Linked DNA regions of Notamacropus eugenii. The protein of the gene in region 1 binds, or shares a complex with, the protein of each later gene. Links are inferred from orthologs where the notes say so. Each region holds a gene or a part of one and is shown in the gene's direction. Other genes may lie near its edges. The genes, in order: MYO6, GIPC2, CLTA and TOM1.

The links.
Region 2: the proteins of MYO6 (region 1) and GIPC2 are in contact, whole or in part, in a crystal structure (PDB 5V6H), measured with the Mus musculus proteins. The link is inferred for Notamacropus eugenii from reciprocal best matches to the Homo sapiens genes MYO6 and GIPC2. Residues at the interface, in NP_001034635.2 of Mus musculus: Ser1055, Lys1056, Trp1057, Lys1058, Tyr1059, Arg1084, Arg1085, Leu1086, Val1088, Tyr1089, Trp1092, Lys1093, Asn1096; in NP_058563.1 of Mus musculus: Glu255, Leu256, Tyr257, Met258, Gly259, Ile260, Asp262, Asp264, Leu265, Thr268, Thr289, Leu290, Asp292, Phe293, Ala294, Pro296.
Region 3: the proteins of MYO6 (region 1) and CLTA are in contact, whole or in part, in an NMR structure (PDB 6E5N), measured with the Homo sapiens proteins. The link is inferred for Notamacropus eugenii from reciprocal best matches to the Homo sapiens genes MYO6 and CLTA. Residues at the interface, in NP_001355794.1 of Homo sapiens: Met1053, Thr1054, Pro1055, Met1058, Ala1059, Met1062, Ser1087, Trp1089, Lys1090, Tyr1091, Glu1113, Arg1117, Leu1118, Val1120, Tyr1121, Trp1124, Asn1128; in NP_009027.1 of Homo sapiens: Glu47, Asn48, Glu50, Ala51, Phe52, Ile54, Leu55, Asp56, Gly57, Gly58, Ala59, Pro60, Gly61.
Region 4: the proteins of MYO6 (region 1) and TOM1 are in contact, whole or in part, in a crystal structure (PDB 6J56), measured with the Homo sapiens proteins. The link is inferred for Notamacropus eugenii from reciprocal best matches to the Homo sapiens genes MYO6 and TOM1. Residues at the interface, in NP_001355794.1 of Homo sapiens: Ile1182, Phe1184, Trp1202, Gln1214, Glu1216, His1218, Asp1220, Lys1221, Pro1222, Ile1224, Leu1226, Glu1234, Met1235, Cys1236, Leu1238, Glu1242, Thr1243, Gly1244, Leu1245, Arg1247; in NP_005479.1 of Homo sapiens: Ser440, Glu441, Phe443, Phe446, Leu447, Arg450, Ala451, Ala453, Ala454, Asp455, Leu457, Pro458, Asn459, Leu460, Ser461.

The regions. Positions count from the first base shown.
Region 1 is NC_092873.1:145,790,178-145,797,907, forward strand, and holds the start of MYO6 (unconventional myosin-VI), read left to right. Parts: upstream 1-4,715; 5' UTR 4,716-5,112; intron 5,113-7,730. UniProt on the Homo sapiens protein: Myosins are actin-based motor molecules with ATPase activity. Unconventional myosins serve in intracellular movements. Myosin 6 is a reverse-direction motor protein that moves towards the minus-end of actin filaments.
Region 2 is NC_092873.1:539,178,439-539,186,108, forward strand, and holds the start of GIPC2 (PDZ domain-containing protein GIPC2), read left to right. Parts: upstream 1-4,659; 5' UTR 4,660-4,892; coding exon 4,893-5,144; intron 5,145-7,670.
Region 3 is NC_092874.1:318,883,882-318,891,325, reverse strand, and holds the start of CLTA (clathrin light chain A), read left to right. Parts: upstream 1-4,439; 5' UTR 4,440-4,663; coding exon 4,664-4,895; intron 4,896-7,444. UniProt on the Homo sapiens protein: Clathrin is the major protein of the polyhedral coat of coated pits and vesicles.
Region 4 is NC_092874.1:292,427,372-292,434,328, forward strand, and holds the start of TOM1 (target of Myb1 membrane trafficking protein), read left to right. Parts: upstream 1-3,946; 5' UTR 3,947-4,020; coding exon 4,021-4,072; intron 4,073-6,957.

The DNA.
Region 1 (7,730 bases):
AGAAGGGCTACTTCCTCAGAGACTACTGGAACAAAAGAAGCTGAAATAGGGACTGAGTCTGAAGGGATATGAGGTGAGAAAAGGCTTCATTTTCTCAGTGAGCTGTGACAAGGTCTTTTGTTCTTCAGACAGGTAGTTTGAAGAGAGAAGAGGTTTAGACATCTGTGTGAGAAGTTCATTAGACAATTAGGAAAAAGTAAAAGAATTGACTCGGGAGCAATGGGGATCCAGTTGAGATTAGATAACACAGATTTGTAGTAGATACAGGTCAGTATAATTGTGTAACTTCCTCCAGGGGTCATTCGGCAGTAAATTGGCATATCATGATTTATGCAATCTGTCCCTATGAAGGAAACCACAGTAGAATCCCAAGTAACTAGAAGATTCAGGAAAATGGTGAGTTTTCTGGTTAACTAGGACTTCAGTAGAAATTTTATTTTGATTTCATTTTTGTTGCTGAAAATCTTACTAATCCAATAAATTTGACACAGTAAGTACAGAAGTGAATATATTTGTTAATGATTGAGGAATTTGCAAATGACTAAGTTCTAGTAATCATAATGCAGCATTGTAGATGTAGAAAGTACCTCTAAGTTCTACCTTAGAAGCTGTTTTTTTTTTTAATGAAATTCTTACTGTCAGAGTGTTTTCTTGTGCTTTACTCTTTTTCTAAAAACTCTCTAGGATTAATTAATTACAGTATAGTAGATTATCCATGGGATTAATAAAATAATTTCTTATTTTAGAGGACTTGTCCCCCTATGAATCAGTCCCAACCCATGGACATCTATCTATCTGTTCCTTCTCATCTTCAGCAGATTGCTTTTCATTATCCATGCTGTCATCTTCAATCTCTTCAGGTCTACTCACTGCTTCTTTTCTGCCTACAAACTTGCACATCTGTCCTCAAACTTCAAAAAAATCTTGATCCCTCTACCCGGACTAGCTATTGTCCCATATAACTCCATCTATTTATGGCTAAACACCTTAAGAAGGTAGTCCATGATGGGTGCCTCCACTTCCTTTCCTCTCTCTCTCTTCTTAACTCTGAAAGTTGGTTTCTGACCTAATCACTCAACTAAAATTTCTCTCTCTCCAAATTTCTCTCTCTGATCAATGATTTCTTAATTGCCAAATTTACTGGCCTTTTTTCCATCTTCTTCATTATTGACTCTTCTGCAGACTTTTACATTATGGATTACACTCTTCTCCTTAGTATTCTCATTTCTCGAGATTTTTGTGACGCTGCTTTCTTCTGATTCTCCTATCTATCTGACTGCTCCTTTGCTAATTGGTTACTCCCACTATATGTGGGTGCCCCACAGGGCTCTGTCCTGGACCTTCTTCTCTTCTCCCTCTATATTATTTCACTTAGTGTTTTCATCAGGTCTCATGCATTCTCTTTGCTGATGATTCTCAGATCTACTTTATCCAGCTCTAACTCTCTGCTGGCTTCAGTCTCACATCTCTAACCGGACATCTTGAACTGTGTTTCATAGACATCTTAAACTTAACACGTACAAATCAGAACTCATTATTGTTTTCTCCAAGTTGTCCCTTCTCCCAAACTTCCCTATTATTGTCAATGTTATTATTGATAGTAATGTTACAATCCTTATAGTCAATCAGGCTTGCAAACTAGTTATCATTTTCAATTCTTGACTTTCATGGCATCCCTCCTCTGCACCTCCCCCTACCTATATCTTATTCGTTGCTATGTCCTGTTGATTTAATCTTCTTAACATGTCTAATATATGATTCCTTCTCTCCTCTACACCTCATGTTCCAACTCACGATTGTCTTTCCACTTTGGCCCATTATTGACTGATTGATGGAGCCTCTACTCATCTGTCAAAGTGATCTTAAAGTTCTGTTCCTACCCTGTCACCCCCCACTCAGTTAAATCCAGCAGTTCCCTATCATATAAAATCTTCCTTTTGGCATTCCAAGCCTTTTCCATCCTGCCCCCCTCTTTCCACTCTCTTTACGCTTTAACCCCATGGACTCACTGTGCTCAAGAATGCTGCTCCTTACTGTACACACTCCATCCTATATTGACTCTGATTTTTCGCTGGCTGTCTCCCATGCCTAGAATCCTGTCCCTTCTTATTTCTACCTCTTAACTTTCCTGACTTTCTTTAAGTACCTGCTAAAATCCTATCTTCTACAAGAAGCCTTTCCCAATCCCCTTTAATACCTGTTATCTTATCTCCAATTTATCCTATAAATAGCCCATTTGTACCTATTTGTTTGTCTATTGTCTCCTCATTAATGTGAATTTTTTGAAAATTGGTTCATCTTTTGCTTTTCTTTGTATTCCTACTTAGTATACTTAGTATAGTGTTGGGCACGCATTAGGTACATTATAAATGGTTATTGTCTGTTATCATCTTGTGTGATTCTTGTCCAAGTCACTCCATAAATGTTTCTCCAGTTTATTTGAGACTTTGTGGATACAAATGCTATACTAGTGCTGTGTAAGACTATCACAGTCAAACTAAAGATCTTTGAAGTTTACAGCTAGAGAAAACTCAAGATTCTTTGGATGATATATTACATGTTACTTGTGGAAAGGACTAGAATATCCCAAAGGAAGAGGAAAATTTGCTTCTTTCAGTTTGTAAAATAAGGGAAGTATTTCTGTTTTTTGGAAGAAAAAAACAGAAAAAGAACAAAATTTAGGAGTATTTTTTGGAAGAACAGATAGCTAGGAAATCATGCTTAACTAGAGAAGGAACTGAGACTGAAATATGTAACACATTCCTTTTTTACTTTTGCTGTCAATCATAGTCATATGATATACTACCCTATACTTCTTAAGATGTATTAGTTTCTAATGGTTTCCAGGCACCTTTTAAGTTGAATGATATATATACAATTCTAAACTCAAAAAAGGGAAGACACAAGATGCCATAGCAATACTTTAATATTTGTTTTTTTCTCACTACTCCTTCTGCTTGGTACCTTTATTTAACATTTACTTCCTGTCTAGCTAGCTTGAGATTTCTGTGGTTCCAGCAAATTGTTTCCTTTCTTGGTTTCTCTTCCTCTTTCCTCCTTCTCCCAGTACATTCTTCGTAATTCATTGTGGCGGTTGCTCCCTAAAGTCTATACGTTATCAAGGATTTTCTGAACTTTTAAAGTGGCTACTTTGATATACTGGGAAACAAATCTACTTTTCAAATGAAATTTATTCCTTTTTTTTTCATAAAAATGTTCAGCATCTTGGATGAATTTAATTTTCTCCAAACTGAAAATTTATTACTTCAGAAGAACCATAATAATAAGAGCTACGTTTATATAGTACAAGTTAAAAGTTCTTTCCTATAAATTATGTGCTCCCCACAACAAGCCTGTGAAGCAACGCTGGTATCAGAATCTCCATTTTACAGGTAAAACAACTGAGGCTGAGCAGATGAATGGCTTGACCAAGACCATACAGTTAATGAAGATCTCATTTCATGTTCCTTGTTCTTTCCATTGTGCTACTACCTCTGACAAAAGACTCATCAAGCAATGCCTGTCTGAATAGCCCTTTCTACCTATTCAGATTTTAAAATTATTTTCAAACAAATCAACTATGGAAAATGAAGACAAACTAAAAGTAGGATAACGCTTTTTAAAGTTCAAGCTGCCTTTTTTTTTAGGGGAGGGGCGTGAGCACAAATAGAAATGAAACATTCTTACCCTCTGCCTCCTATAGAGACAAATAAATTTGGAAGTAGGCTTCGTATAAAAATCCAACAAAAGTAGGATTTCAAATACAGATACATTGTATCTAAGTGTGCGAGCGTGTGTGTGTTTCTAGATGTTCTAGATAAATTAGACAGTGGAGCAGCTAATACACTTCAGGAGCAGCCTCCTCTTCTCCTCTCTCAGACTTCGTATTCAATGGACTCTCCACGCTAGAAGAAAGACAAACAAAAAACCCAAACTGGTCAGTTACAGAACTTAATTACTGTGACGGGATACTTTAAGCCTCCCTCCCCTTTCCCACAACATTTTTGGTTTCTTTCCCAGAAACACTGGCTTCTTTCTTTAAGTACGTAGAGTTTTAGAGTTGGTGGACACTTACTTTCTTGATGCTGGAAACTCAATCAAGTGTGGAGGAAGGTTTTCCACCGCAGGAAACGCAGACTGGATCTGTCAGTTTCTCTCCCCCGCCCCCCCCACCCTCTCCCTCTACCCTTCCTCCCTCCCCGTGCCGCCCCCCCCCCCTCACGCCCCCCCCCCCCCCCCCCCCCCCCGGGAGAAGTATTGTCTGAAGACTTGGGTTCCGTTTCGGGCTTTGACACTTGCTCCTATGAAAGCAGACAGGTCACTGGTGAGACTCTGGGCAAGTCATTTAATCTCCCAGGGCCCCAGTTTCTTCGTCCGTAAAATGAGGGCGACGGGATTGAATAACCGCTGAAGTCCCTTCCGGCTCCTAATGTGCGATCCTATGACACTCCCTTTTGGCCCCCGCCGAGGACCGTGAAAGAGGGGCGACCCCCCCCCCCCCCCCCCCGCCCCGGCCTGGTAGCCCTTCCCCCTCCCGCGCACAGCCGTTCGGGGCCGATCTGTCGGACCGAGCGCTGGAGTGGGCAGGACAGAGGTGGAGAGATGCGGGCGCGGAGCCGCGGGACGGGAGACTGAAGGGGGAGCCAGGGTGTGTGGCGGCGCGGGCGCGCGCGGTGGCGCGGGCTGGGAGGGGGCGGGCGCGCGCCTCCCTTGCCCCCCCCTCCCTGGGAGCGGCGCGCGCCCCTCATCCCGCCCCTAGCCCGCGGCGCCGGCGCCCCCGCCTCCGCCTTCTCGGGCTCCCCGAGTGGGTGACGTGAGGCGCAGCCGAGTTCCTCCCTCGGACTCTGCTCGGCGCGGCGGGCGGAGGGAGGGAAGGGAAGGCGGAGACGGGGCTCAGCTGCGCTGGGAGCAGGAAGTGGAGCAGGACCGGGAGCCGCTGCCGCCGCCGTCACCGCCAGGAGCCCGGCGCCAGCGCCCTGTCCTCCTTCCCGCTGGGCAGCCGCTCGGTCCCTGCAGCCCTTTTCTCTTCCCTCTTTTCCCTCTCCCGGCCGCCTCGGCCCGGGGCCACCCCGCCCGCAGCCGCCGCCGCGGCTCACCTGCCTCCCCTTCCAGGTGAGTGAGGGAGGAGGGAGTGTCCACACCCCGGGGGGCGGCTGCGTGCCCCGGCGGCCCGAGAGGCTCGGGGGCCTCCCTGCCTGCCCCTGCCCGGGAGTCCGGCCAGCGGCACATCTGCATCTGCAGGGGGCTGTGGGGGAGTGAGGGTCTTACTGGGGAGAGGCGAGGGGTCCCGGCCGGCCCCTTTCTCCCCCGTTCCCCGACCTCCGGAGGAGAGAGGGGCCGGGCTGGGCCGGGGCGCAGGGCAGCCGTGCCGGCTCGCTCGGAGCTGCGGGTTCGGCCGGCCTCTGGACCGGCCAGGTGGCGAAGGAGACGGAGCCTGGGAGGCTCCTGGCCGCTCCTGCGGGAACCACCTGCCGTGTCTGCCCCTGACGCTCTCTGTAAGAGGCTGGCACCGTTGGGGAGGAAAAAAATGAAAACTTTTCTCTAGGAGCTGGTTAGTAAGCACTTAATGAATTCCTTCTGGATTATCATTAAGAAAACGACCTTGCTCTAATGCAGCAGGAATCAAGCCAAGGCAACAGGCGTTTACTTCTTATTAAGCGCCTACTGCATGCCAGGTGCTGTGCTTAAGTGCGGGGGACTAGAAAAGGGCAAAAACAGCCCCTGCTCTCAAGGAGCTCCCACTTATGTGCAAACGAGATAGGGACCGGATAAACTGGAGATAGAATCTCCGAGGGAACACACTGACAGTAATCTTTTATTTGTGGTACAAAGATAGCTTTAATTTTTTTTTTTTTTAGAATAAACATCTTTTTGAAAAATGGGTGCCTTTTGTTTTTACATCCCATTCATTTCTGAGTATATTATTCCCCTGCCAGCCACCTATCCATTCATTCCTTCTTGGAAATTAAAAAAAAAATGCAGTTGAGCAAAACTAGCTCACATTTACCTAGGCTGTGCAGGCCTATTCCTTTTTCCACACCCATAGTTTCCCATCTATATAATGAATGGCCAGAGCTTCATTTTCTTAACTCTTCCAAGATCTCCCTCTATGATTAAATGACTTAAAAAAAATGGAAACATCTAAGTAAATCTGTTATATAAATGAAAGAATCAGTGCATTAATAATAATATAATTGTGTAAGTGCTTAGGTTAAGCATTTAAAAAACCAAAACATTTTTTCACATTGTTCTAAAAATAATAGAAATTAATTTTAAAGAAACTTTATACTCCTACAAGGGAAAAAAATGCCTTCTGTTGCTGTGATTTTGATTTCAGGGAAGTTGTAGTTTTATAACTGTCCTTTTTCCTGATGTTAGCCAACTGCTCATGAGAATATACTGAATTTTACATCCATTAGTGTTCTCATAATACATGTTATGGAGGCAGTATTTAAATACTAACCCATAAGTATTAGTGAGGAATATTACTGAAACTTTGATAAGTTTTTGAAGGTGTTACAATTTTGTGATACAGATATATATCTAGTCAGAGTTTATTGGGGATTTTTTTTTCTTCTGGAGGAAACAAGATTTTAGCATAACTTGTTGAATAAAAATGATCTCAAGGTTTAACAGAAATTACACTTGCCATAAAATGTGGATCTTGAACTTGGGTTGGTAGTGGTCAGGGTACAAAGGTTAACAGCAAAGCAGAGGGCTTTTTTGCACAAATTAACTGAATTTAAAGAGATGTCTTCCTTGTGCTACAGCTACAGCTTGATGATTAGGACTTGTTCAGCAAAATTGTCATCTTTCATTTGTCAAGCTATATAAATACCATGTGGTGGGCCACTCTCAGAGGAAGAAACAATAAAAGCTGTTAATCCTTGTTTTTTGTAAATTTACTTTTTCAAGTACTAAACTTATTTTAGATGTTACACAGAAGTTTATAGGTAGAATGATAAACAAGGGTCCCTTTAACCTTTTGTAAATTTGAATACTGAATTTTATATAAAATCTTTTTGTTCTTTGAACCTTTTCTTCAAGTACAGTTTCAGAAACTGTTAAAAATAAGTAATCTTTTTTTGGTGGGTGAAAGGGAGGGAGTATTGATAGAGATATCAGAAAAAAGAAGGAAAACAGTATCAATGAAACATTTAAAAAATACATTGAAAAGAGCAGAGGCAAGTTCAGAAAGACAAGAGCAAGATAGTTTCAGAACTATACTGTTAAATTTATTATATTCTTAAAGCTATTATACAGTGGATCTTTGTGGTTTTCTATCATAATGTTTTCCTATTATTTGTATTCATGTATGGAAATAATTACGTTCATTGATATTTGTCAAGTTCATTATAATAAAAAAGAAAATATAAAAACAATAACAAAAAATATTTCTTCTGCAATAACCCCCCCCAAACCATATTATTTTTATTTCAGTTATTTCATTGGGTTATTTCGGTATCTTATCAAAAGTTGACCTAAAGTATAAAAAACAGTTTCAGTGATAAAGTTTGTAAAGAACATTAGTCAGGAAGTGAGAGAGCCACTGAAATTTCATCCTGTTGTGAATGTGCTTAATGTGTATTGAATATTATGTCATCCATTGTTTAGACAATTTTGCTTTATTGGGGAGCTGGATTGCCATTTCCTTCAACTTTTAAAAAAAGATTTTGACTGATTTGAATAAGTACAAGTATCTGAAACGCTTAAAATTGTTATCTAGTTGG
Region 2 (7,670 bases), about 390 Mb from region 1:
CAAAAAAAATGTTACCTACAGTCTGAGTCAATCATCTCTCTATCAGGAAGTGGGTAACATGGTTTCATCATTAGTTCCCTGGAATTGTGATTGGTCATTACATTGGTCAGAGTTCCTAAATCCTTCAGATATTGTCACTATATAAACTTCTCCTGGTTCTTTTTGTCTCACTCTTCATTAGTTCATAAAAGTCTCCCCAGGTTTCTCTGAAACAATTCCCTTCATCATTTCTTATAGCACCCCATCACAATATGTGTATCACAATTCTTCAGCCATTCCTCATTCAGTTCATGGGCACCCCTCAGTTTCCCATTCTTGCCACTATGAAAAGAGATGTTGTAAATGTTTTTGCTAATCTTGGGTACAGTTTGTTTTGCTTAAGGTTAATCCCTCCCTCAATTATTACCTACCGCATGCTTCCCTTTCTCACCCATTTAGAGAGTTGTCTGAAACTCAGAGAGATTGTGAGCTGTCCATGGTCACATAGCCAGGAAGTGTCAGAAATGGGATGGGAATTCAGATCTTCCTAATTCCTAGTCCATCACTCCCTCCACTATGCCCCCCACCCACAAGCACTCACGTGCACACACACATGCACATGCATGGATAGATCTGTCTTCTATCTCCCTATTCCTGATTTCAAGTATATAACATCTTGAGCAACACAATGGTCTTGCTCCTCATACTCCTTTTAGGCAGGGAATAAAAGCAAAATCCTTTGAACCATGATTATGTTTCTGAGAAATTGATGTTATTTCCTTACTTTATGTATTTGCTTGGATGCATCATTAGCATATCCCCTTACAGTAATTGTGGTGGTAAATTATTCAACTTGAAAAGGCTACAAGCCAAGACCAAAGTGGAGGAAGTGTTAGCACAGGATTTTCTCTTCTCAAATGATTGTGCCCTCAATGCAGCCTCTGAAGTTGAGATGCAATAAAAGGTATGGATCCATTTTGGCCTAACAATGAACACCAAGAAAGCACAGGTGCTCCATCAGCCACCACCACACCATCCATATATGGAACCATCAGTTCCAACAAATGGAGAAGTCTTGAATGCTGTGGATAAGTTCACTTACCTTGGTAGTGTACTTTCCAGAGATGTACACAATGACAATGATGTTGATGCATGCATTGGGAGAGAAGAGGTATTAGACTGACTACCAAATGGAAGATCTACAGAGCCATTGTGCTGATCTTATTGTTGTATGCCTGTGAAACATGGACAGTCTACCAGTGCCATGCCAGGAAACTGAATTGCTTCCATTTGAACTGTCTTAGGAAGATCCTGAGGATCACCTGGAAGGATAAGGTACCAGACACTGAGGCTCTTGCTCTAACTAAACTGCCAAGCATTCAAATTCTACTGCAGAAAGCCCGACTCTAATGGATCGGCCATGTTGTTCAAACGCAAAAAGTACACTTGCCAAAACACCATTTTATGGAGAGCTTACATACAGCAAGCATTCACATGGTGGTCAGAAGAAGCAATACAAAGACACTCTCAAGGTCTGTCTTAAGAACTTTGGAATTGATTGTGTTACATGGGAGACAGTGGCACAGAACTGCTCAGCATGGTGTGCCTTTTTCAGATAAGGAATTGAAGTAACTCAAAAGAAATGCGAGATGCTCATATTTAAAGAATCCACCCCAAATGTTCATATGGAATATTTATGCCCAACCTGTGGTAGAGCATTCCAAGCTCTTATTGGTCTGGTCAGACACACTAGAACTTTGATCTAGCATAGTCATTTTGGTCCTCTTCGGGAATGAAGGACAACCAATAGTAATGGTGATCAGTCAATCAACAAACACTTATTAAGTTCCTATTATTGGTAGGCACTGGGCTAAGCACTGAGGAGACAAAAGAGGCAAAAGATGGTCCCTGCCCTCCATGAGCTCATAGCCTAATGAGAGAGACAACAAACAAATAAATAGGTACAAACTATGCACAAACTACATACAAAACAAATGGCAACAGGCAACCCAACAAAGGCAAAGGCATTTGAATTAAGAGGGACTGGGAAAGGCTTCCAGTAAAAGATGAGATTTTTCTTGTTACTTAAAGGAAGCCAAGGAAGTTACCAGTCAAAGTGGAGGAGGAAGAGTATTCCAGGCTGGGGGACAGCAAGAGAGAATGCTGGGAGCCAAGAGATGAACAGTCTTGTTCATGGAACAGTCAGGAAGTGAATGTCACTGGATCAGAATTCCTGTGGAGGAGTGGGATGTAAGAAGACTGGAAAAGGAGAAGGGGACCAGGTTATAAAGGGCTTTGGATGACAAGCAAAGGATTTTGTATTTAATTCCATGAAGGTGACAGAGTTTATTAAATAGAGGGGTGAAATAGACTGGTGAAAATCACTTTAGTGGCTGAATAGAGAATGGACTGCAGTTGGGAGAAACTCGAGACAGGCAGACAGCACCCCCCAGCAGGGGTTGTACTTGAGGTATGTAATAGAAATAGAAGTAACAGGCCTTGGCACCATATTGAATATGGGGGATGTCAGATAATGAGGAGTCCAAGAGGACTACGTTGAGAGCCTGAGGTACTGGTGGTCCCCTTGACAGTAATAGAGTGGTGGAGGGAGGCTAAGAGAAAAGAGAATGAGTTTAGTTTGGGGTATGTTGAGCTTGAAATGTCTCCTACTTAAGATGTCTTAAGGGGATTTGGAGATTTGAGATTAGAGGTCAGCAGAGAAACTGAGGCAGGCAAGGTAGATTTGAGAATTATCTGCCCAGACATGGTCATTAAATCCATGGGAGTTGATGAGATCACCAGGGAAGTAGTAGATGGGGAGAAGAGGACTCAGGACAGAACCCAATGGCACACCCAGGGTGGGTGATATAGCTGAGGATCCAGCAAAGGAGATAGAGAAGGATCGTCAGAGAGGTGGTGGGAGAACCAGGAGAGAGGGGGGTTCTCTGGAAAACCCAGAGAGAAGAGAGTATGGAGGAGGAGATGACAGTCCCAGTGTCCGAGGCTGCAGAGTCAAGAAGGAGGAGGAGGGAGAAAAGGTCATTGGATTGGGCTCCTAAGAAGCCTTAGTAACTTTGAGAGGGCATTTCTAGTGGATTGAGAAGGTCAGAAGGGTGAGGGAGACAGGAAAATCAGTAGAGGACCTTTGCTAGAAATTTAGCTACGAAGGGCAGAAGAGGCAGATGAGGAGCCAAGCTTCCTCTCACTTGCACCCAGAGCCTTCCTTCCATCTCCAGCTGGGGCAACTTGTTCCGCTGAGTCCGTCTGCCTGACTGGTCTTCTCTTGGGTGCCCTGCCACCCTCTCCTAGGTAGCTGTCAGGTAAGGGCCTGCCATTTTCTGTCTGCTCCAAACAACGACTTCCACCTTTGCCCACACAAGGCAACTTCCGCCTCTCAACTCAGTCGCCTCTCCGACCCTGGATTTCTTTCTATCTCTTCCCCTCATCCCCCAGCTCTGAACCTGTTTCCTCAACCATAAAAAGGAGATAACCCTGGTTCTGCCTCCCTTCCTCAATCAGTTGCCAAGCGTTTATTAAGCCATCAGTGGGAATGAAACGAAAAAAGAGGAACGATCCCCCCCATCTCCCCAGGAGCTCACATTTTTCTGGGTTCACAGCACAGAAGAGGGTTGGAGCCACTAGGAAGGCCCCTGGTTAGTTCGGGCTTCTTATCGCGGTTTCAGGAGAGGTGCATTTAGGGTTAGGGGCTCTGGGAACCTGGGGATCAAGACCTGCCCCAGACGCCTACCTGCTCTAGGGCCCCCAGTAATTAAGTCTCCAAGCTACCAGTGACCCAGGCCACTGGGGCGCTAAGACAGAGACAAGCTGCTCATGGGCCCGAAGAAAAAGGCCACCTCCATAGGGCTTTAAAGTGTGCCAGTCCCTCTACAAGCCTGCGCTCCCAGACCCTCTCAACCCCTGGAGAGGGAGGCACCATCTCCATTTGCGTCTAGGCCAGGTGAGGATCTGTTGGAGGAATCCGGGATGGGTTTGCTTCCAAGTGCAGCCTGTTCTGAGGCATTTCCTGAGGGAGATCGCATTTGCCGAGTTGGTCTCTAGAGAGGAGCAGCGGGGCGCTGAATGTGGGGGGGGGGGGGGGGGGGGAGTGGCAAGAGGCCGATGTAGGTTGATGTCCCCAACCGCTTGCCTCAGAAAGATGGTGGTGATCTTTGCTGGTGGGGTAGCTTTGATTACCGTTTCTGGGTCGGTTGTATTAGACTGTGATTGAGGCTCCATTTCGTAGGCCACTGGACTCACAGCGAGGGTCAGACTGGGCAATCTTCTTGGTTCCCAGTTAGGCACTCTAAGCCCTGTCGGACGCATATTTTTCCATTATCCTTCATAGGGAGCCTTGAGACTGAGGGGACCCCCCACCTTCCCACCCCGCCTCGCCCTGGCTCCTCGTGGCCGGATTTCCAACTCCAGCCCGGTCTTGCAGACCCGAACCGTTCACCGTGAAGTCCCACCTTCCCCCTGGCTCCACTCCCTCGGCTTCATCCTGGGACACCGCTGCCCCGCTTCCCCTGACTCCCCAGAAGCGCCGCTGCCCTAGGAGTAGGAGAGGCCGGTGCGGGCAGGAGGAGAAAACTGGCCAGCCTCCAGTCTCCTAGAAGGAAGGCGTAGGCGTCGCGTCGCAGCTATTGGCCGGGGTCAGCCTTTTACCTGGGACACACCCAGCCCAGGATTGCCCTGCCCCTCTGCTCCCTACCCTCGGGCACCACAGAACAAAGTCCGCTGATCTAGCTCGCCGAGCTGCAGCCACTGTCTTCGAGGCTGCTCCTGCGTGTCGGAGAGGACGCGGTTACCTGTGCCGGCCTCCTGCCCCCAACGGACGGCCTGACCGACAGACGCCTGGTCTCCTAGAGCCTCCTGGGGCCCCGTCCTCACCCAGCCGCGCCCTCTGACCACCTAAGATGCCGCTGGGACTGAGGGTCAAGAAGAAGAAAGCCCGGTCTACGGACGTGTCCAAGTTGATGGAGGGCGAGCCGATTGCTCAGAGCGCTTGGAACGCCCAGTCCCTGCCGCTGGAGCTCCAGCCCAAGCCCAAGCTGGTGTTTCACACGCAGCTGGCACACGGCAGCTCCACGGGCACAGTGGAGGGCTTCTCTAACATCCAGGAGCTCTACACCAAGATTGCCCAGGCTTTCGACATCTCTCCCTCCGAGGTAAGCAAGGGCACGGGCCAGTGCCTGGGCGAGTTTCAGTCTCCTCTGCTTCCTGTTGCTTGGTGCCTGTCTTTCTATGCCACTCAGATGGCCGAGGACTCCCTCCCCTGGCTCTGGAGGCAGAATCGCCGGGCCTCGAGAGCAGAGAAGGACCCACCTCAGACGCCATCCAGTCGGGCTCCCTCATTTCCCTGATGAGGAAACTGAGGCCTCGAAACGCGAGACTTGTCCCTGCCTCTCAAGGAGTAAAGGACAGACCCTGGATCAAACACAGGTCTCTTTTCTTGGCTTCAGATACCTCATTTGAAGATTCAGACCAGTTTGTCCTTGGGCAAATTATTTAGTCTTCCCATGCCTCAGTTTCCTTATCTGCCCAATGAAAGGATCCGACTGGGAGGCCTCTGATGTTATCTTCAGCTTTAGAGCTACTGTCCTCCGCGGAAGGAGGTCATCCTGGCCCTGGTCTGGGAGGGCAGGCGCCTTGGATTCCGTAGAGACCAAAGTCCTTATCCCATCTCTCAGCATTTATTAGCTTTCTGAATCCAGAAGCCAAGTCTCTCGACTTTCCTGGGTCTGACAGGTCCCTTCTCTTATCTGTGAACAGAATAATCATGCCACCAGTGTTACTTACACCACAGGATTCTTAGGAAGATGGAATAAATCCTGCAGCGGATCTCAAACTTTTTGGAGTCAAGACCCCTTACTCACACGTAAATGATTGAGGCCCAATTTCCTCTTCCCCGCTTTGTTCTATGGGTATTCTATCCATACTTAGCATTTTAGACATTTAGTAATCCGTGAAGATAGTTTTGATCTCAGTGACCCCCTGAAACCGGTCCTGGATAACACTTTTAGAGAATCGCTAAGATAATGCAGTAAAAATGCTCTCTCTTCAGTGGCAGTGTGGAGGCAGTGGTTAGAGCTGGTCTCCAGTCAGGAAGCGGTCTATCTGGGGTCAAGCGGACTATCTGAGCCACACTCGCTGAACGGCTAAAGTAACCTCTCGGCAGCTCCCACTCCGCCTGAGCGCTACAGGGGTTTCCACTCTGGCACATAGTATGGAGCCTCAGTTTCCTCATCTGTAAAATGGAGATAAATAATGCCTATTCTTGTGGGCAACTTGAGTCCTTCCCGGGTAATCTAGAGATTACTCTGTTACCTGAGAGTTTAAAAATCAAGGCAAGGCACTGTGCCCTAGGTTCTAGGGCTGCTAGAGAAAAGAGAAGGAGTTTGTTTGGAGCAGGTTGGAAATCGGGAAGCCCACCTCGCATATCCCAGATGCAAGAGATAAGGATAAAGGCATTTTGGAGTCTCTTGGAGGCTCTGGAGATGGCACTTGCTCCCGGACGGTGATCAGAAGGTCCGAGTTCTGGGCCCAAGAGCCAGGGGTCTGCCCCTTGGCTGTGAGCTCCTGTGCTGGGGAGGGTGGTTAGGACCTTCTGGCCTGGGCTTTCTTCTCGGCATCGATTCTTTTCGAAGGGACCAGGGACCCTGCCTTGGCAACCCTTGGGGAACCAGTTGAGGTTCCATCCCGGAGTAGAGCCAAAGAAGGGCCGCTCCCTTTTCCTCTCGCCCTGCTTCCTCCCAGCCGTTCGGGGCGCTGCGACTTTGGGGCCCATTTCTTCCATCCAAATTCACTGAGGGAAAGGACAGTGATGATCACGCCACATATAGACATTGAGTACTGAGGAAAAGCTTGGCTGTCCTGTGCTCGAAAGCTGGTTCTGACCCGAGTGACCTTGGCTAAGTCCCTTCCCTTTCCTGAGCCTCGGGCTCCTTTTGGCGTGGCATCTGGGAGGCTCCAAAGGATCTCGAATCTCAAAGCCAGAGCCTGTGGTCAAGGGGCCTCTGGCATTCCTATGAAAGAGAGCCATGGAAACCACTAGGTTCTTACAGGAGGAAGAAAGGGAAAAGAAGGTAGTGGCAGAGGGGAGCTGGCTGAGAAGGAGGGAGGAGATCTATCCAAAGTCTATCCAAAGTGGTAACAGCCTGTCACTTTGTTTTGACATCTCTAGATTATCAGGGAAGGGTTCAAGCTGCCCCCACCAGGTAGGTGGCATAGGCATTATTTATCTCCATTTAACTCATGAGGATACTGAGGCTCAAATCAAGTCAAGAGGCATTTATTAAGTGCCTACTATGTGCCAGACACGGTGATAAGCACCAGGGGTACAAAGAAAGGGAAAAAACTAGGTCTGCTCTCAAGGACCTCCCAGTCTCATTAAGGGGTGACACCACAGAAACATGATGTGGGGATCTTAGTGGGAAGGTCTCAGAGAGTTTGTGACTTACCCAAGGTCATACGATCATTAACTGTGATTAAACCTGGGTTCTTTCAGATCATCTTCTTTATCCTATCCGTAGTTCCCTTTCTATATATTTGTTTGTATATTTTCTGGCCCATTAGATTGTGCGCTCCTTGAGGCAGGGACTGTCTTTTGCCTCTTTTTGTATCTCTGGCACTTAGCAGGCACTGGATTGAATGAATGAATACTGCACAAACTGTTGTTCAAAGGATCAGCAGCT
Region 3 (7,444 bases), on another chromosome or scaffold:
GTCTGGACGCTGTTACCACTGCTCTGCCCCAGTTCTTGATGGGGTAAGCTGGTTCCTGGTCCCCTTCCCTGCTCTCCTCCACAGCTTTAGCAAGGGATCAGGAAGCTGGGCTCCGAGCTAAGACAAACAACACCACCCTCTGTTTAGCCTCTGGTTTCTGCTTCCAATTCCTGCTGGCCCCAACACTGATCCTAGCTTTGGCCCTATCATTATTTCCTCTTTCTGGAATCACCAGGTAGATGCTAGTTTCGTTCCCTGTTGCAATCTTGATGAGCCTCCACTATATATTGGGGATTATAATTTTATCTTCCCCTGGGGGGTTCCCAGGAGCCTTGGACTGGTTTCCATCTTCTCCATCAATCTCCCAAGAAGCCTTTATCTCCTACTCCAGCTCCAGCAGGCTACTGGCTATCAGGGTAGTGTCAGTCCTTATGGAAGGCCCTTGCTCTGTCCCAGCACCATCAGGCTCCTCGGTCCCTTCACCTCACTAAGAGACATTCCACCCTTCTTGGGAGCTAGCTTTATTCTCTGTTGGGATTCCAGTAGTTCAGGGCTGAGATCTCACTGTCTTCAGGCCCTCTGTACTGGAGATTATGTTGCCTTCAGCATACTTCTTGCCTTTTTTGTAATTATTCCTATCCCTTGTCTGGTCAAGGATGCATCTCCTACCCATAAAAACCCAAACACTTTGGGATAAATTTTAGCATCATTATCATTCTCCATCCCTCCTTCACTGCACAGTGATGGACCTAGAGAGGTGAAAAAAGCCCCATAAGAATCAGCTATTTCCCAATGCTTAGGTAATACCTGGTACCTCTGCATGGCTGACAGCTAGATGGCAAGGAGATAGGGTACCAAGCCTGCGGTCAGGAAGACTCATCTTCCTAAGTTCAAATCCAGCCTCAGACACTTACCAGCCATGGACCCTGAGAAAATCACTTAATTCTCTCTTAGTTTCCTCATCTGTAAAATGAACTGGAGAAGAAAATATCAAGCCATTCCAGGGTCTTTGCCAAGAAAACCCCAAATGGGTTCACAAAGAGTCAGACACGACCGAACAACAAACAAGTGCGTTGTAGAGAAAGGAGAGGGGAGGGTTTGTAAAGAAAACAGTGAAGAGCTTTAGTCTGCAAACTGATTCAGAGGATCCTAAAAGGCCTGTATTGATTCTCCTCCTTTTCCATAGCACCCACTTTAAATCTAGCAACAAACACTAAGCCCACCACATGAAATGAAAATACACTAGGAAAGATGAAGGACTATAGGGACTGTTAAACTGAATGCCATAGTATATTTCATAATGTCTGCTTTGTGGTTTCCATAACCTTTCTTCTCATTTTATGTAAGGACATGTTTACTTTTTAGAATTTTGTAATTATAAGTGTCTAGCCTTTGCAGAATGTAAACATGAACCTGTATGGTTTGCTGCAGAACATACATCCATATCCACATTTATATTCTTAATTGATACCTTTTACCCTGTTAGGATTCCTGTGTTTGGTAAGTTTATTCTCTTAAATCTGAGTCAGTATTCATATGTAGAATCACAAAGGAAAAAGGTTATAAACACCTCCACCAGAGGTCTTTGATCCTTGCTGGAAACAACCCAAGTCCATTCTCCTGGAATTTACCATGTGATTTAGAGGTAACTCAGTGGGAGAAGACTCAGGTCCATATAATTAACAGGCTACTGTCCCCAAGCCCATGCACTTTTACTTGCTTCTCACTTTCCTTTGCCTTCATCCTAAAACCAGTTGCAGTCTCCCTCCCTATCACCTCCTATTATATACTTCATAAATAAATGTCCACCTTCCCAAATAGCCTCAAAGCAACTCGGATCATAGATGAGATGTTCCACATCTTCCCTGGTTAGCTGAATTTTGAATAAAATTGGGAGACATTCTAATCCTATATTCTAAATATCAATTGATTGATCATTCCTCTCAACCAATTACTGTGCTCAAGGAACCCAAAACATAGATGTAGGAGTAGGATTTAACAAAATATCTTGACCCTCATCAGTCATCCTGGAACACCACACACTCCCCCTTACCCCCTCAAAAAAAAAAAATAGAAAAGAGGAACAACTGCAACACATGTCAGAGAGGGAACTTTTTTTTTTTTGAGACTTGTCCAAGCAGGAAGTACAGTGACCTCATAGTCTGATCCCACTGATGATTTTTTCCATTTCTGATCTGGGTAGGGCCCCCTAGTTAGGTAATCTGCTCCTGGGGGGGTGAGGGTGGGGCTAGCATACTGATGCCAGATTTAGTGTGGATACCTGATCCACTGCAGCTCATTGCAGTTCAGAACTCCTGTGTTCAAGTGATCCACCAGCCTCACGCTTATACAAGCCTTACCTTCTCTGGGAGTGGGATTACAGGTACGTACCTCCCCACTTGACAGACTTTTCTTATATGGAAAAAGGAAAGTTAGGAAGCATATTTTCAGGGCCATAGTATACCAGTCTGGACTCCAGTCATCTGCAAAGAATATCCTTCAATAAATCTTTTTTAGACATATGTCATATTTGAGCTTTGTCCTTTCCCCTCTTTTAATTGCAGACAGTGAATTACCAAGTAATTACTGGATTGGAGAGACCTTTGCTGACAAATCTAAGCACTCACACTAAAGTTTTCAGCTGCTGTAAGCAGACTTAATTTGGTCCCTAGAATATTTTTTTTTAAGTTAAAAGCATCCTCATCACTGAAAAGTGTGAGAACCACTGGACTAGGTGATCACTAAGGACCCTTCTACTTCTAGCAGTCTCTTGGGGACTTGTGGTATCATTAGGACAACAAATACTCAGTGTAGAAACTTTTTCTACCACATACAGATAGCAACTCTTCTGCAAATTATAGTTTTAAAGGATGGCCTAGGGAACTGAGAGGCTTGAGTTGCCCAGGGTCACATAGGTTAATATGTGTAATCAACAGGACTTAAAATCAAGTGTTGGGTTGCTAGGCCTTGCTGTGGATACAGCATGGGGCCTGGAGTCAGGAGGACCTGAGTTCAAATGTGACTTCAGACACTTACTAGGTACGGGACCCTGGGCAAGTCATTTAGCCCCCATTGTCTCCCCCACCAGAAAAAACCCAACCCAAACCAAAAAATAAGTCTTACTGACTCCCAGGATGGTCTTCCATCCCCTATGCCTTGCTAACACATTCTATGACTGAAACAATTTTTGAACAAAATAAGGATACTAAAAGTGACTGTTATCATTAAATCATTCAATACACATTTTTAAAGCAACTATGTCCACTGTGCTGGGCAAGGATGGGGGAGGGGAGAGGTACAGAAAAAGATAAAGTATCAACAATAATCTAGCCTTTAGCCACAGTAGCTTCTTCTGCAGTTGTAGAAACCAATGTTCTCTTCCTCTGAACTAATTTTTTCTAAGTTAGAAAAATGAGAACTGAGAAATCAGGAAACCTTATCATTTTCTGTGAATCTGTAAGTAAACAGGAAGAGACAAAGAGGCTGAATTAGCTCTATAACCTAATGTTTTAGTTGCATAAGCTAACATTTTAAATTTCTCATGTTACCCAGTAGGAAGCAGGTTGTAGAATGGTTAGAGATCTTAGATAATTTCTTTTCCACTTTCCTTATTTTACAGGTAAGGGAACTGAGGTTTAGGGATGTTAAGTACTTGATCCAGGTTCACAACCCTAGGAGACACAGAGGCGAATTTGGAGTCAGGTACTGAGTCTATCATTTGTTGCCTCCTCCCCTCCACCCCTGTTTAAAACACAAAGACACACTCCAAATTTTTGACAAAATTAGTTGAACATACCTACATATCTGTTTTGTTAAAATACCATCAAAGAAAAGTGTCAAAAATCTTACATCCTACAGTCTCAAAGAAGACAAAGAACTTTCCATCCACCAGAGCAGACTAAAACTGGTGAGTGATTAGGAATTGTGCTTTGAGGGGAGATCTGAGTTCAAATGTAGCCCCAGACACTTGACACTCATCTCCAGTAATCCTGATGAACATATGGTCACTGGATTCAAATCCAGCGCCCTGTTTCCAGTCCTGGGACATTCTGTTAACAAGAGCCAGTGGGCTATGGCTGCCATTTGTAGTGCGGTGTATCGTAGGGCTGGGTTGTTTTTGTTTTGGGAAGGTGTGGGGAAGGAAGAGGAACAGTGCGAGGTTACAGATGCAGGGAAAACTGGCTCGTCTGAGGCTCCCCGAGAAATCCTATAGAAACGAGGAATGTAAAGTGACACGCGGAGCCTCTGGAAACATACTAGCAGTGTCCGAAACTGACGCATGTAATTAACTCGCCAGCTCTTCCCGGGAAATTCACAATCACGTGCCGAGCCTTTGCAACTCCTTCGGAGACTTCCCCGACTGGCGGTTCGCTATTTTGATTGGCCGCGTTCCTGGCCCCACCCTCGGCTCCTGGAGTCACGAGTTTTCCCAGGGCCCGCCCCCGCGTCCCTGCCGATTGGGCCTCGGCTCTGAGCTACGAGGCTGCCGATTGGCAGACCCTACTTCTCCCCTCTGCTGCCTTCACCTCTTGGGGGCGGGGTTTCCGCTTCCGCCCCTCGCCCCCCACGATCACCACCGCCACAGTGGCCGCTGACCTCCGTCCCTGGCTGCCTGCCCTCCCCCGGACCTGCTCCCTGCCCGCCCGCTCCGGCCCTGTGCGCCATGGCTGAGGTAGACCCGTTCGGTGCGGCCGCCGCTCCGGCCCCTGCCCCGGGGGGCCCCGCGGTGGGTAACGGCGTGGCGAGCGGCGGCAGCAGCGAAGAAGACCCGGCCGCGGCCTTCCTGGCCCAGCAGGAGAGCGAGATCGCGGGCATCGAGAACGACGAGGGCTTCAGCATCCTCGACAGCGGCAGCGTGCCGGCCTCGCTGCAAGGGGAGCCCCCCGGAGGCCCGGGTAAGAGCCGCGCCCGCCCGGGGGGCCCGGTGGCGGGCCCGGCGGCCAGCCCGGCTCGGGAGGGGGCCGGGGCTTTCCTGCCCTTCCGCCTCTGCGTGCTGCCGTGGGGCCGGCGGGCGGGGGAGGGGAGGGCGGGCCCGGGCCGGGCCGGGGACGGAGGAGGAAAGGGAGGCAGAGCCCTGCTGGCCTGGCGGAGCCCCCCTGGGGAGGAGGTCCCTGCCGGCCGCCCATCAAGGGTCACTTTTAGGAAGGGGGCGATTTCTGTTCTTAAGCAGGAAGTGACAAGAACAGGCTGAGCTGAGGCTGGCTATGAAGGGTCGGAGGGGCGTTCAGTGGCCGCGGGGCGCCTTTGAGCTGGGAGGACCGTGGGGATCGCGAGGGAGTGGACGGCGGAGAAGCTCGGGTGTCCGGCCGGCCCCTGGGGGAGCCTGTGTCAGCCCTTTGAACGATCGAAGGGACGGCCTCGCGTCTTCCCTCGGGGCAGAGCACGGGCAGAGCCTTCCGAGGGCAGCCGAGAGGCCTCCGGCCTTTGGTGGGTCTCCCAGCAGGTGGTGTGGACGGTTGTGGAGAAGAGTTTCAACCCGCTTTCTGCAGGATGCAGGTTTCCAGAGAGCCCAGTTCAGTCCCATAAACACCAGTGCCTGCCCTGTGAAAAGCACTGCAATGGTGGTGGTAAATCCAGGGGAGTGGAGGTCTTTACCTCCATGGCTCTTACACTCAGACAAATACAGTAGGGGAATTCTAGAGGAGCCTACAAGTGCTTTGGGGACTGGGGCTTCCTCACACCCTGGGAGTAATTTTTGATTTTGTTTTTGCTTGCCCTCACTCTCACCCAACTACCAAATCCTGTCTGTTCTACCTCAACACGTCTTCTTCATTCTCTTCTCACTCACTGATCCCCCATCCCATGTACTGGGACTCTCTGTGTCCAGTCTCTGGATTCTCCACAGAGCTTCTGGCATAGGGCAGGGCAGCCAACATCTTCTCCAGCATTTGCTGTGTGCCAAGCGCTCTGCTAAAGCACGGGGGGGTACAGATAGGAGCAGATGTAAGCAAACACGCAGGTGATGTTCTTAAAGATCTTACATCCTCATGGGAAGAGACAACCCAAAAAGGAGGAGGAGAGTGTAGAAACAATAGCGGCGTTTGGGTATAATACCAAAGACCTCAGAGTCAGAGGCAAATCCAGGAGTGAGATGAAGTATGGCTGGGTCCATTCCCCAAGTGGGAGTCCCAGGAAGAACTCACACATGGGAGAAGGGGCTGGGGAAGCAGTGATGCCCTAGGATAACGGTGCTGGGGCCAAAGTAGACGCTGGCTTTGGAGAAGCTTGCATCCCACTGGGGCTTGAAAATTACCAGAAGATAAATAAACAGAAAGTACTGTAATTGGAATGAAATCCACCTCTGCTGAACCTTGAAGGAATAGTAGCCTCCACATAATACATCTCATACATGGGACTGTGAAAATGCTTGGAGGCCAGAGATAGTGTCGAATTCAGGAAACAGCTAGGCGGTAAGTTTGGAATATAGAGTACATTAAGTAGGAAAGTATGAAACAAGACTGGAAAAGTAGGTTAGAGTAAGATTGTATAGGGCCTTAAGTATAAAAATGAGGGCTTGTGTTTTATCTTAGATGCAAGGAACAACCAAATGATTTTGAGCAGGGGGTTAAGGTGATCAAAGATCTGTTTCTTTGGAAAAGTTATCTGGAGGATTAATTGGAGAGCCCAGACCCCGAGAGCAGGACAGCCATCTCTTCAAGGAAGTTTCTTTACCTCTCAATACCAGTGACATCATAGTTCCATTCACCCCCTTCCTCCCATTTCCTCCAGTGCAAAAAGTGAGGGTCTCAGTGTCAGAAGGGATGGATAACTGACTGAATGGGATTAAGGAGCCCTAGGACTTGAGGGTAAGATGGAGTTTTCAGTCTTGGTCTAGTGGGAGAACTGTGCTACCTTCAAAAGAAATAAATTATTAACATATGTGATTGGCATTCAGGATATCAAGGATAGATATATAGATTTGGGAGTCACATGCCCGGAAATTGTTTGAATACCTAGAAGCTGATGACACTTTCAGGGGACAGAATATAGAGACAGAATAGGGTCCATGACAAAGCCCTGGGGAGCATTCATGCTGAGAAGACTGGATATAGATGATGACTCAGCAAAGGATATCAAGGATTAGTTAGGTAAGTAGGCAGAGAACCAGGAGAGGGCAGTGGAAGCTGAAAGAGGAGGAGGGGGGCTGACTTTTTCAATCTGCAGTCAGGGCAAGGAGGAGGACTGAGAAGAGGCTATCAGATTTCGTGGCCAAATGAGGGTCCTTAACTTTTGGAGTGTAGTTGCAGAGTTAGCTTTTGGACAGTAGATTAGTGGTGAGGTTGGAAGCCATATTACAATGGGTTGAAAAGTTAACGGATGACCTGACTTCTCTGCAAAATATTTATTAAGGACTACCTGTGTTATCAGGTTAGGGTGCTGGGGATTCAATGACAAAAATGAAACAATCCTTGCTCTTGAGAAGCTTAAGTTATATCAGGGAAGA
Region 4 (6,957 bases), on another chromosome or scaffold:
GATGGAAGAGGGCAGCAGAGGGGCGTCAACACTTTCCAGATACTTGTCAAATGAATTCACAAGTTGTGGAACCACATGTTACCTAAGTAGTGGGAAGTTTGTCATAGGAGGCCCAAGACCCACCCCCATTAGAATGTACTGCTTTCCTTTGTCTCTGTACCCCGAGCTCTGAGCACAGGGAGGGCCTGCAAAACTGGGAGTTTAATAAATTCCTTCTGGTTGATTAGTTGATCATTGGGTTCCCCACCACCATCACTACCGCAGCTTGTAAGTGAATGACTTGCCTACGATCATCTACAAATGGCATCTAAGCCAAGCATTTGGTGACATCTGAGTGACTGTTTTGACGGTGTGAAGGTAGAAATGGGAAACAGAGCCAGTCAGTTAGTGAGAATGAAGGGTAATAGAAAACAGAAAGCAGACCCTTCCTACTGCGGCCATGGCCCTGGCCTGCCCAAAATGTTCAAAGGAAGGCCTTTAGTTCACTCCATGTGGAGGACTTACTGAAAGGGAGAGGCAAGAATTCAGTCATCATTTATTAAGTGCCTACTGTATGCCAGATACCATCCTAAGGCCCTGGGGATACGAAAAGTGACAAAAGACAGTCCCTGCCCTCAGAAAGCTCCCAATCTCATGGAATTGCCTAGCATGTTAAAAAAAAAAGTTTCAATCTTTTCAATCCCAGATCAACTTAAGTATGGGAAGGCATCAAGTTTAGAGAGGGAAGGGAAGCCTTGGGTCCTGAACAGCTCTTGAGTCTAGGCACGAGACCAGGTGGTATGATGGAGACAGTCCACAAGCCAGGAGTCCTGGGTTCCAATATTCTCCTGTGACCCTCCCTTCTTTCTTCATCTGTGAAAAGTAGGATGGAAAAAAATCCAGAAGCCACTTGGGTGCCCATTAGGGGGATGGCTGAAGAAATTACTGTATGAGATTAGATGGGAATGTTGCTTCACCATAAGAGAAGAGGCAAAGATATGTCATTAGTTAATGAATTTGAGAGAGAAAGCAGAAGCCCAAAGAACAGGTGTCAACAGACCTGCGTAGAGGCAGAGAACACTGAACTGGAAAAACAGTAACTCATGAGTCCCGTGGTCATTGTCTCTTCTGTCCAATAGCAAGGACACCAGTCCAGTCACCACTTTTTATCATTGTTTTCCTTGCCTAGAGCAGGGGTTGGCAAACCCCTAAGGATTTTTGTATGAACCTAAGGATGATTTATGTAATTTGCCAACCCACACTTTATGGCATCAGGGCATCTTAAATCTAGAAATGAAAAGAATCTCAGAGGCTTTGTGGTCTAGGTCTGCCCAGGGTAACTTGATTATATGCATCAGAGGCAGTATTTGAACCCAGGACCTGTGACTCCAGAACAGGGAGTTTTTTCCACTGCCACCCATTGACTTCTGGAGTGAGACATGTTCTCTTGTTTTTATTTTTACTTGGTCAATGGGTTATATGCTTATTCTATGACTTGTTTGGGAGTTCCATTGTGCTTCTGGGGATTTTTCTGGGTCTGTCTTTGCTTTCCCTACATCCATTTAAACATGTCTGCTGATGGAAGATAAAGTAAAATTGATCCATTAAATGCATGGAGCTGAACTTAGACATCTCTAAGATCCTGTGGTTTTTGCACACTCTTCCTCTGTTCTCCTCTGAAGCAGACACATGGGAGAAGGCAGCCCCAATCTGGTGTCAAAATGTGCTCCACACCTCCTTCCTGACCATGCAAAACACATGAGCAAATAACTTAGTGAGTTCCCCCACTGGAATGTGACTTATTTTATCTGCTTCCCCCACACTTGGCACCATTCATTCATTTATCTCTGGGTTTCAGTTTCTCCCTCTAACAATGCCTGCCTACCTCATGGGGTTAAGCATATGGTATTATGGAAAGACTCCTTTAAAGAGAGTCAGAAGATCTGAATGTCTCGTCTTTACTACTCATCGGTAACTGGGAGACTTTTGGCAGCCTCGACCTCAGTGTCCTTCTCTGTAAATTAAGGGCATGGGGATCTCCCTTTCTACTCTGATAGCTCCCATGTGTAGCACATCAAGGTTGACGAGGCACTTTCCTGACAATTACCCTCTTATGGCACAAGAATTAACGTCATTTTACAGATGAGGCAGGGAGGCTTGGAAAGGTTATCACTTGTCTGCAGTCACACAGCTGGTCAAAGAAAGAGCCAGATCATTGTTGAAGCCCCTTTAATGGCTGTGGTGAGTGTTAAATATGGATTGGAAAGCACTTTGAAAACTCTAGGGCTTATGCAAGTACAAGGCCCTGGTACCCTATGGTTGGGTCTTTCCTGATTCCTCCCAATAACTTGGTATACGTTTGTATTCGCTTGTCTGTGTACATTCTCTCCCTCTCCCCTGTCCCCCAGTAGAATGTAACCCTTGAGAGCAAACAATGCTTCCATTTTTTACTTTGTATTCCCAGGACCTGGCACATACCGGTGTCTGATAAATGTCTATTGAATTGACTTGAACCATAGCAGCAACTAATATTTTTATAGCACTTTTAAGGTTTCCTCTGAGGCCTAAACAGATTTCAACTTTTGTTTAGGTCTTTTAAAAATCACATTATTGTAATCAATGAATACTTAACACCTAATAATAATAAAGAAAACTTGTTTTTATGAATTTTTTTGTGTTTATGGCATCTTCCTAATAACGCCATGAGACAGCCAGTAAAAATGTAATTATCTCCATTTTACAGATGAGGAAATAGGTTTAGAGAAGTCAAACATCTAATAAAATAACTTGAAGCTGGCCCACCTGATTTCCATCTTGAAAGGGCAACACCTTGCCAAGTGGTTCTCTCCCCTTGGGGTTTCCAATTCCTGGATTTTCCTTCTTTTTTCAGAGTGAACAGATAGGCTTGTTGGAAAGGGACCACTGACTGTTTTGGAAAAAACAATGAATGGTCTAATAGTCCTAGTCCTTACCGGAAGGGTGGGGAAGGATGACGTGCTTACAACCACAGGGAAATCAGTCCAACCCTCAGCTCCTTTAGGTGTCCCTGTTCTCCACTTAATTATTCAAATAGAAACTGAGACAAAGGGAGATGGACTTACCCAGGTTGGCACAGCCAGTGAGCAGAAAAGTTAGGTGAGAGCCTAGGTCACTACATGACGGCTGGGCCTTGGTTTACCCATCTGTAGGGGGAGGGGGAGAGCCAGGAGCTCCATAAAGCCCCCAAACAGATGCTGGAATACCAAGGAGTTGGCTAACGGGGAAGGACTGCTTAGTGAGCTGCCATGGTGACCAGGGGTGGGGAGGAATCATACGGTGACTTGGGGATCACTGCGTCCAGCCCCCCATGAGCACTTATTGAGTGCCTACTGTGTGCCAGATACCACGGAAATGACAACAGTGAGGGCTCCAGGGGGGAAGCCGCACAAGGCAGGAGTTTGTGCCGGTCTCCTGGTCCCTCTTAGAGGGCAAGGGCGGCCCCTGACTTTCCTTATATGCGCTCCGGGGCTGGCACACAGGAGGTGCTTAATAAATGCTGATTGACGGTGACTTCGGCAGGTAGGAGGGGAACCCGGCGTTCCCACTCCGAGCCCATCCCCTCGCCCTTCTCCGCTCTCCCTTTTACCATAGAGTCCTTACACCCGGAGCCCCCGGGGGCCAGCCGGGAACGCCCCCTGGCACGGAGGGGCAAACTGAGGCCGCAGGCAGCCAGGGAGTCGCTTATGGCTGTAGCTGCGGGCAAGCCCCGCCCCCTCTCTGGGCCTCCGGTGTGCAACGGTGGAGGAGGGGAGGCCGGGGGCTGCCCTCGATGACCTCTGACATTCCGCGGAGGAGGCTGCGGGGTGGCGAGGTTGCGTGACGTCACGAGGGCCCCCTGCTCCCACCGCGCGCCTACGCCTCGTGCCGGTGATTGGCACGTCACGGGGCGGGGCCTGTGGCTGCTCGGGGGGGGGGGGGGGCGGGTCACGTGACGACTCCGAGGCCGTGGCAGTTGCTGTCAGCTGATCCCTCGGGCTCGGAGGGGTGGCGGCGGCGGCGACCATGGACTTTCTCCTGGGGAACCCGTTCAGCTCCCCTGTGGGGCAGCGCATCGGTAAGTGCTCCGCGCGTCCCGGCCTCCCCAATGCCGGCCTCCGCCTCCTGGGGACCCCTCGGGCTCGAAGCCCCAGATCTAGGGGACTCAGGGGATCCTCCCCCCCTGCCTCGAGAGCGCGGAGTGACAACGTCCTCGAGCCAATAGAAAAGGTGGTTTGACCGACTGGCGAGGGCTCGGGCCTATAGCCTGCTTGGGGGGCGGGAGCCGGAGGCCGCGGCTTATCCAATCAGCGCCCGAGGAGGTCCCCGGAGCCGGGCAGAAAGTTTTCTCTCTTAAAGGGCCCGCAGCGTTCCCGCCCCCGGGGCTCCGAGCGTCAGCTGCGCCGGGACAGGGGTGTCCGGGGTCTGGCACTCGGCACCCGGGCGAGGGACCTCGAGGCAGAGGGATCCACGGGACAGAGCCTGGGGGGGCGGAGGATCTGGGTTCCAGTCCTGCCCCTGACTATTCCGGGGCGGACCAGTGCCCCGAGGGTCTTCCCAACTTTTCTGCGTCACTTCTCTTGTCTGAGCCTCAGTTTCTCATCTGCAAAATGGGGGTGCAGTTCCACGGACATAAATTGGTCAGTAAGCATTTTTGTAGCTCCTGCTGTGTGCCCTGGAGGACTCAGAGTGACCACGTGCAGACCAGATACAGGGGAGGGGGAAAGCTCCCTACTGTGCGCGTAGCCCTGGGCTGGGGAAGCAGTGAGTCTGGGTCTTCTCTGTGTCGCCAGACCGCGGCCCACAGTAGGCGCCTAATAAATGCTGGCTACAGCACTTTCTGTCCCAATCCTGCCTCACTTCCCCCGGGCCACACCCCTTCATCTGTCCCCATTCTCCGGTAGATTTTTGATCCTCTGAATGAAAAGGCATCTATTAAGCACTTACTGTGTGCGTTGGGGGTCACCAATCTAGATGGTCCCTGGCCTGGAAAAGCTCGTGTCCTGTTGAGGGGAGACCACGCATTTAGGCCTGATATTCTGAGAAGTCACTGCAGTTAATCAGTTAATTAACTGACTAACATGTATACAGTGGGTGTCATAGTTATGCAGATGAATGAAAAGTTGATCCTAGGAAGAGGAAGGGGGGCTTCATGGAGTAGGTGGCATGAAGCTGATCCTCCAAGGAAAAAAGAATTCTGAAAAGTAGAAGGGAGGACCTGAGGCTGGGTCTGTCCCAGCTGAGGAGGGGGCCACTGGAAGACCCTGCTTTGTCTGTGATCAGTCAGTCAGCAGCTCCTTTAGGTGCTTACTCCGGGCCAGGCATAGTGGGAGGGGCTGGAGACCCAAAGAAAGGGGAGCTCCCTTTGTATGGGTGGGAAGATGGCTGTGCCTAGGGAATGGGTACAGAGTGGAGAGAAAATCATCTCGCAAGAGAGGCCTTTGGAAGAAGGTAGGATTTGAACTGAGTCCTGGAGAAACTGGGGTAGCAAAGAGCAGAGGTGAAGAAGGACAGGCTTCCAGGCATGGGGCACAGACAGTGCAAAGGCCTGTGGGTGGGAAATAAGAGTTATGTGTTCTGGAAACAGCAACACCAGCACACAGGAGGTGGAAGGTGGAAGACTGGAATGGGGTGAAGGACTTTATTTTCTATTTGATCCTGGAGGTGATGGGGTGCCACTGGAGGGGAGGAGGCAGAGTGGCATCTGGGTGAGGGGAAAGACAGGGCTGGGGATGCTATCAAAAGGCCAGAAGGGATGAGGACCTGAACCAGGCCTTTTAATATTTGCATGACCTGCTTAACAAGACTGTGCTGAGGATAAGATGAGATTCAGAAGGCGGCTGGATTACTCACCGGGTGGAGCACAACTAGTCCAAACTTAGCTTCAGCTACTTTTTAAGTATGTAACCCTGAGCAAGTCAGCTAGGTCTGCCTCAGTTTCCCCACCTGAAAGTGGGACTACTACCAGCCCCTCTCTCCCAAGGTTGTTGTGAGGATCTGACTCCTCCTCTCCCCCTGCCCCCCACCCCCCACCCCCCAAGGCATCTTCTACAATGAGAGTTCTGAACCAGAAAGACTGGGATTCTGGTCCTGGGACTGGCCTGGGCAGGGCAGCCTTGCAGACTGACTGTCCTTTCCAATTCCAAATGTCTGATCTGATTTCATCCCAAGCTCATCCCCCATCTCTGGAATTCCAGCCTTTGTGGTCAGAATAACTGTTCTCAGATTCCTCCCAGGGTGGGGTGATCCCAGCTTTAGACGCCTCCTGGAAGGCCACCTGACCATGAGTCAGGTTCTGGGCTGGAGAGAGCATGCCTGTGGCTCCTGAGTCTTCCCACCCCCCAGTCCCAGACTGCCCCACTTTCACTTCTGGCCAAGATTGGAGCTTCCCTAATTGACAAATACAATGGATTTTTGGAGAAAATTCACCATTCTGAGTTACAGCAATTCATAGAGTGTAACTCTGAAGGCATCTGTGAAGTGTCTGCTTCCTGTGGACCAGGCGTTTGCTGAGAGCACTCAGAGAAAGCAAAAGAGGGCAGAAATGAGGAGGGATGGCATTCCAGGCAGAGGGGACCACCAGGGCAAAGGCTTGATTTGGGAGAGAGAGAGCATGATGTATGAAGCAGGACAATAAGCTGGGAAGAGCTTTCATTGCCAGCTGTGGGCACACCAATCCTTCCAAGGAAACCTTATCAATAGTGTCTCCATTTTACAGATGAGTGAACTGAGGCCTAAAAAGAAATCATCTCCTCAGCACCATGTAGCTAGTCAGTATCAGGCAGGATTTGAACCCAGCTCTCTCCTCACTCTTTGGCAAGCTCCCTTTTGTATGTAACCAGTTTTCCTGAGGGTTTGCCTTTCTTAGCACTAACCAGGAGGTATAGGGGGTCTTGGAAGGCTAAGGAAGCTCCTCTTGGTAGCCTGAGCTACTCCTGTTCTCTCCCAGCCATCAGAGCATCC